Linked DNA regions of Oryzias latipes. The protein of the gene in region 1 purifies or fractionates together with the protein of each later gene. This does not show direct contact. Links are inferred from orthologs where the notes say so. Each region holds a gene or a part of one and is shown in the gene's direction. Other genes may lie near its edges. The genes, in order: dystrobrevin beta and utrn.

Region 1 (3,819 bases):
TCCCTGAGCTCATGTGACCAGCAGGTCCCTGAGGTCATGTGACCAGCAGGTCCCAGAGGTCATGTGACCAGCAGGTCCCAGAGGTCATGTGACCAGCAGGTCCCTGAGGTCATGTGACCAGCAGGTCCCAGAGGTCATGTGACCAGCAGGTCCCTGAGGTCATGTGACCAGCAGGTCCCTGAGCTCATGTGACCAGCAGGTCCCTGAGGTCATGTGACCAGCAGGTCCCAGAGGTCATGTGACCAGCAGGTCCCTGAGGTCATGTGACCAGCAGGTCCCTGAGGTCATGTGACCAGCAGGTCCCAGAGGTCATGTGACCAGCAGGTCCCTGAGCTCATGTGACCAGCAGGTCCCTGAGGTCATGTGACCAGCAGGTCCCAGAGGTCATGTGACCAGCAGGTCCCAGAGGTCATGTGACCAGCAGGTCCCTGAGCTCATGTGACCAGCAGGTCCCAGAGGTCATGTGACCAGCAGGTCCCAGAGGTCATGTGACCAGCAGGTCCCTGAGGTCATGTGACCAGCAGGTCCCTGAGGTCATGTGACCAGCAGGTCCCTGAGGTCATGTGACCAGGGTCTGCTGGCTGTTCCAGACTAAAGGTGACAGTCTTTGCAGCAGTGGCTCCATCCTCTGGAACTCCCTTCCTCTCAGCCTCAGATCTGCTGACTCAGTGTTTTCTGTAAAAAATAGATAAAACGTCTTTTTAAAATTGGTTTTTCATTCTTTGTATATTCTGTGTTTTACTGCGAAGCACTTTGTGATTTCTATCTTATACAAATAAAGTTTAGTATTATTATTCTACCTCCTTCTAACCTTCATTCTCCCCCCCTCATGACCACCTTCCTCATCCTTTGTCCATTTGTCTTCATCACTTTTCTTGTTGTGGCGTGTTTCCACATGGCTGGTAACTCCATATCGTTACAGGGTTTGTCCTTTAATCCCTTCACTACCGGAACTGGTAGCTGCCAATCAATACACAGCTTTGGGGGCGTGGCCAGCTACATCACTATGTTCAAAAACCATCAGCTGATTGGTGCATTTTATGTTTGGCTCAAAAGTGATTTAATAAACGCTGGAAATAGCTACAGGTAAAAACGGGCATTCTTCTTCTCCTCACAAGGGGCTGAACATGCAGCTTTAGGGGGCCCTAGGACCCCCCCCCCCATTGGGGCCCCAGGCAATTGCCTAGTTGGCCTGTTTGAAGAAACGGGCCTGGATTTACACACATTTCCATTTCTCCACATATAGGATTTTGTTCTGGTTTGACCGATGCGACGGCTTCTGTAAGACCACATGGACTCCCTCCGTGTTCCAGAATTGTACTTTCTAGATAACCTTTCTAGATAACCTTTCTAGGTCGACAAACTCCACAACAAATCTTAGACACTTTTGGAGAAAGGCCTCACAGCAGGAAATGCACACTGCAAACTTTTACAGAGGAAACCACCAAAGATTCAACGTTTTCTATTTTTTCATGGTTTTCTATGTCAAAATGTTACCTTGAAGGTTTCTTCTGTGTGGAATCTGCTCCTCACCTCCATTTCTCCTGAGCTCCTCCCCCCTCTATGACCCAGCCGCCGTGCCCCCCCCCCTGTCCATCATCAGTGATCGGTGACGGTTTAGCCCGAGCGTCCTGCTGGATGATGATGCCACAGTGTGCGATAGATGTCAGACATTTGGTCCAGGGGGGGCCCCATCCTCTGCTTCTTCTCTCCCGGGGCCTTAGTATTATGGTCTGCTCTATTTGGGATCTTTGGAAATGTGCCTCAGTGATGAAGGATTTAGAAATTAAAAGTGGGCCTTTAGTGAATTCTTCTCATTTTCTTTCATTTGCTTGGGTTAAAAACTCAAATTGTAACGATCATCTATTTCTTTTAGTGCTCATTCTTCTTTAAATTGATATATTTACACAACAGATTTGACTCTTTTGTCTTTTATGTAACACAAGAAAACCAAAACAACAGAAAAACCCAAATAGTATATTAATCCTCAGCCAGTCGTTTTCTTTAAATGTCCCGTTAATGTCTGTGCTGGAGCGTCTTCCTCTCAGAGTCCACAGTCACTCCCACTCCCGACACGTAGGCATCATCCACAAAGAAACCAAATCCAAACGTCGACAGGAATCCTCTCACCCACCAGTCGATTGTCCAGACGAGTCCAAACAGAAACAGATGCGTTAGATGCGCCTCTTTTTTCTTTTCTCTCGTAGACTCCCTGAAGTTTTCCCCGTCTCCACAGGATGCGCCCCCTCCCTCTTGCTTTGGTCCCCCCTTTATCAAATCAGTCACATGACCTACTGCTGACGTGTCCTTAATACAAAAAGATAACAACACATATTTTCTGAATGACATGTTTCTTTTGAGGAAATAGTCTTTACAATATTATGGGAAACTGGTGATTTTCACACAGAATTCATCATAATCTCAATTCTTTAATCAAATACTTTTGTGGCTACAAAATGACTGAAAACGTTGGCGCTTGGGGCCAACATTTCACCTGTTCTACCCCACATGAGACCTGCTGGCAGCATTTTGTCAGCGGCACGTGGAGGATGAAGATTCCCTCAAAGGAATCGATCGTTCTCTGGTTTCTTTGGGTTTTCTCCTCTGCAGGTTCTGGACCGGCCTTCCCACGGAAACCTTTGGAACCGGTGCTAGGAACTTCTAGAACATGACGTTCCCATCTTCAGGGCGGATATCAGTGAGGAGGAAATACTTCTGAAGAACCTGAACCCTGCAGGTGTGTTTACACCAGAGGAACTTCAAAATAAAAGCTTTTTCATGCTAGTCACATTTCAAGATGCAGTTGTGTTGTTCTGTTGTAGTTGTGTTCTACTCGGGTTGGAGTTCTGTGACTGTAGCAGTTTTCTGTCTGTTGTATTTAAAGTTGTGTATTCGTTTGTCTAATCTTTGCAGTTCATTGTGTGTTGTTTTAGTGATTTGTTTCTGTTATGTTGCAGGGTTCGGTTTCTGTTGGTGTAGTTGTGTGTCTGTTCAATCATAGTTCCTTGTGTGTTGCAAATGTATATGTTATCTCACGATTACGTTGTCCGTGTTGTAGTACTTTGTTGTGTCATAGGTGTGTTTAGATGTTGTCTCATCCTTGCATTTTTTGTATTGTGTCATAGTTGCTTTGTGGGTGTTGTGTCACAGTTGTGTTGTGTGTGTGTTGCAGTACTTTGTTGTGTCACAGTTGTGTCGTGTCATCCTTGCGTTGTTTGCGTTGCAGGATGATCGAGGAGGGCAGCCGGCGGTCTAAGGCGGCGGTGGAGAAGCGTCAGCTCTTCATGGAAATGAGTGCGTTGTTGTTGCAGATGGACGTCGTTTGTCGTTCTTCTTTAACCGATTCTTTGTTTCAGGAGCCCAGAACTTCGATGTGATCCGACTCTCCACCTACAGGACGGCGTGCAAACTCCGTTTCGTGCAGAAGAGATGCAACCGTAAGAGCCGCTGTTCTGGTCCGTTCGCCGTGTTCTGAGCAGGAAGTGACGCTTTTCTCCTAGTTCATCTGGTGGATGTGTGGAACATGATCGAAGCCTTTCGGGACAACGGCCTCAACGCGCTGGACCACAACGCTGAGATCAACGTGTCGCGGTTGGAGACCATCCTGTCCTCCATCTATTACCAGCTCAACAAGCGTCTGCCCACCACCCACCAGATCAACGTGGAGCAGTCCATCGGGCTGCTGCTCAACTTCATGGTGGCGACCTACGACAGGTACGACAGGAGCGCAGAGGAACGACAGGACGTTGGTGACGATGTCTTGAAGTTGAAAGGTGACATCTGGACTCAAAGTCTTCTGTCTTGGAAACGTTTCCTGCC
Region 2 (3,819 bases), on another chromosome or scaffold:
AAACTGGCTGAGCTCAACTGCAACTTCGATAAAGTCTCTGAGCACATAAGAACTGCTAAGGTGACCCACAAATCTGATTACCGGTAGTGCGTCTACGAGCGTCTGATTGATAAAAAAAAAAAAAAAAGATTTATTACAAGGAAGTCTTTCCTTCGTATTGACTCAGATGATGGCCAGTCTTGAGAGTGAAGGTGTTCAGATATCTGCAAAGGAACCTCTTCTGGTACAAGTAAGTCTTATTTTGCTTGCCAAAAAAAAAAGATGACTAATAAGCCTTTACAAATATATTTTTATCTTCTTTTCTCAAGGTTGGACAGGAGACCCGTGCAGAAAGACCCCAGCTTCCTAAAACTGTGGTCCGAACTGAAATAAAGGAGCTTCGGGCAGAGCTTCAGGACACTCTGCAGACTCTGCAGCAGCAGGACACAGTAAACCTGCAGGATGATGAGAAGGTTTTTACTTTCTTCCAATGTTTGCCTGGACTTTAAACGGAAGCAAAGAATGTTTGACTTGGGTGTTTCCTTTTTCTTTTGTGGTTTTATTAGATTTGACTAAAGTTTATACAGTAAAAGCTGCTATCTGATAAGACTATTCCTATAGTAAATGTTTAAAGATTAGAGTTTATTCAAAGTTTATGTGATAAAAAAATTATAGTTTAACACATAAAAACGTTGAGTGACCCAAAGGGAGGTCATTGCACCTCCCAAACCGCATTTCTTATCTAAAATGTGTGAATTTATATCCTCAGTGATTTGGATATTTGCAGATTTGAACAGATTTCTCCTTTTTAATGTTTTTAACAGACGGGCTTCAAATAGCTTTATTGAAAAAACTAAACCCGGCTTTTTCCTCTTCCTTCAGATGGATGCAGAGAAAGCCAACATGGAAGAACTGCTAAGAAGAGGAGAAGAACTGCTGCAGCAAACCTCAGAAGAAGACGAGAGGGAGGAGCTGCGGGTGATGCTGCTCCGGCTGCAGAGCCAATATTCTGCTCACAGGGTGAGACTCAGTTGTTTTCTCAAGTAACAATGCCTGTTAAGGACAAGCCTAAAGAAAACGGAGTTGTGTTTGGGCTTTAGGAGCTGATGATGCGGCGTTTCGTTGAGATGAAAGGGCCTTTAGAGGCGCCATCTTCTCACTTTGAGGAGAGAACATCAGAGCTGTCAGCTCAGGTGAGGGACTAAACAAGTATTTACTTAGGATGGTTTGGGTCTTTCTGAGAGGGATTTGGTCAAATATTTTTGGTGGTTTTGCAGGTGCAGATTCTTTTCACAGTATTTTGGACGTCAAGAACTTTTCTTCTTGTTTTGATGCAGGAGATGTCAGCATCAGGGCTCAGCAGCTCGCCGTCTCTGACTCCCTCAGACTACCTGTTGGAGATCAATAAAGTCCTCCTTGCTATGGCGGACAATGAGTTGCTCCTGAACTCCTCTGAGCTGAGCGGGGGCCTTTATGAAGACTTTTCCAGCCAGGAGGACACACTCCAGGTGCAACAAACACAAGCTGCTAAAACACACCTTATTCTAAAGATGTCACATAAATGTAGAATTTGCATGAACTTTTGTCGAGTGACTTTCGTTTGCTCGTCTTTTAGATTATCCAGGAGAGTCTGGAGAATCTGGGCGATAAGGTCACGGGGATCCACGAGCGGCACCCCGACGTCATCCAGGAAGCTTCTCATGCTGAAGCCGCACAGATCGGGGACGCTCTGGCACAGCTTGACGCAGAGTGGGATAGACTCAACCGCATGTACAATCATCGCAAAGGGTACCTGGACATAATTCATATGCAGACGCAATAATGGGAGATTTGGTGCAGATTCGAACTTGGATCGATGTTTTACAGAAAAAGGAAAAAAAAACAGTTTCCACTTTTATTAACTTGACAAATACTAGATATTCTGCACAATGAATAACATATGTTGAAAATGATATTTTTTATTTTCTTTCATTTTTTGCATTAATTTTTAAATTATTTCTTTCTATATTTTTTAGTGTGCAATCAAGATTTCTTTCATGGTAATGGTAAAGGAAAAACGGATAAAACAGACCATAAAAAGAAATGGAAGCATAGAAAAGTTAATCATACATTTCTTCCCCATTTTTTTCTTTTATAAGTCACTAGATATTACAATATTATAAATGTCATTTGTTTATTTTGTTTGAAACAAACATCAAAGGGCTCCTATTTATGCAGGTTAACATGAATAAAGATGTACAATCTTTTTTTTTTTTCTGGCATTCAAACCAAATAAAAATATAAAATGCAAAAACAAAACTTTATCAATGTCCCTTTAAATATAGAATTGTAAATGCCACAACCATTAATATACCGTTCATTTTATAAAGTCCTGAAATTATCTTTTTTTTTAATTTAAACTTAACAGTTAATACTTTTAGTCTAATCTGGATGAAATGTTAGTTATCTATGTTGTTTTGCAGGAGCTTTGACCGAGCTGTAGAGGAGTGGGAACAGTTTCACTGCGACTTAAAGGAGCTTTCTCAGTGGCTGACGGATGCAGAGACGCTTCTGTCTGAGGGCATGGGCGCCGATGGACCGCCGGACCTGAAATCTGCCCGGCAACAGCAAGCGGTCAGTACTTTCTGGTGCAGCGTTTGGATTTAAATGTATGCATTTTACTGGTTATTGGGATGCAGATTTTTTCCACATTTGTCTTGATAAATTCTTACTTATTGAAAGCATTTCTCTGCAAAGTGAAAACTTTAAGGTATGGGTAGATCCAGACCATGATTGCTTGTCATTTTCTGGGGAGAAATAAATGGGCCCTGTGCTGTACCTCATAAACACTCAACACATAAAGCGATCGATTAGAGAGCGCAAAAATGATGAGCAGTGCGGGGAGAGATCAGAAGGGACTTTTTAATTTAGTTTTGTTTGATTGCTAAAGTGGCATTTTGATTGCTGTGGGAAGTTCAAATCGGTGAAGCTGCTGCATCATCGCTGACCTCCTCCATCAGTGTGATTTGCGATGCTCTCCTAACCGCAGTACTCGCACAGGGTTTCACGGCTACTAAGAAGCAGTCGACGGATCAGAGTCGAGGGGAATTGAGGGATCTATTAGCTGACTCACGGTGTGTGGGACTCCACAATCATTCACCTTAACGCATCTGTTCTGGCTCACTAAATCTCTCAAAGTGGAAGGTAGCAGTTTGGAATCCTAAATATCGGCTGCGTGCAAATTATGTTGAGGTGTAAATAAGAAATGTGCTTGGAGAGATTTGAATTAGAGAGGAAAAATGATTAATTTGGTGTAATTTATTCTTTCTGCCTTCCATGTTAGGAGTTGGAGGAAGGCCTTGCCAGCCATCAGGCGGTTCTTTCTGGACTGAACCGCACCGGGAAGCAGATAATTGGAAAGCTTTCATCTCCTGATGGATCGCTGCTTGAAGACAAGTTAGAAACTCTGGGTCAGCGGTGGAGAGCAGTGCAGCAACAATTCTCAGACAGGCAGCGCAGGTAAGCATGGAAAAACAAAATCATAAATCATAAAATAGAACAATAAAGTCCTGCGATAAAAGTTAATTAAACAGCTGTTTATGTAGAAATAAATCAACGCTGCATAGGGGTAAACGATGGGTGTAAAACTTTATATTTTATTTGAATTATGTGAATTTAATTAAATACACAAAAGGTATTTTTTTGCAGATGATACTGATTTGCATGGCTTTGGAAGAAAACTTTTTGTGTGCATTTTAGCTAAATGTAATATATAAGTTGGCCTAAATTTCTCCTTATATTCCCCAAATAATTCAGAAAAAGGAAATATTTAAAACTGGTTTAGGTTGAAATCAGATTGAA

What was found.
Region 2: the proteins of dystrobrevin beta (region 1) and utrn purify together in Homo sapiens (affinity purification with mass spectrometry; 3 studies listed by BioGRID and IntAct, with this or other methods). This does not show direct contact. The link is inferred for Oryzias latipes from reciprocal best matches to the Homo sapiens genes DTNB and UTRN.

The regions. Positions count from the first base shown.
Region 1 is NC_019880.2:107,204-111,022, reverse strand, and holds part of dystrobrevin beta, read left to right. Parts: intron 1-2,610; 5' UTR 2,611-2,737; intron 2,738-3,226; 5' UTR 3,227-3,227; coding exon 3,228-3,294; intron 3,295-3,356; coding exon 3,357-3,437; intron 3,438-3,500; coding exon 3,501-3,714; intron 3,715-3,819.
Region 2 is NC_019882.2:8,810,814-8,814,632, reverse strand, and holds part of utrn (utrophin), read left to right. Parts: coding exon 1-60; intron 61-166; coding exon 167-229; intron 230-308; coding exon 309-452; intron 453-861; coding exon 862-999; intron 1,000-1,079; coding exon 1,080-1,172; intron 1,173-1,316; coding exon 1,317-1,487; intron 1,488-1,594; coding exon 1,595-1,767; intron 1,768-2,441; coding exon 2,442-2,592; intron 2,593-3,301; coding exon 3,302-3,477; intron 3,478-3,819.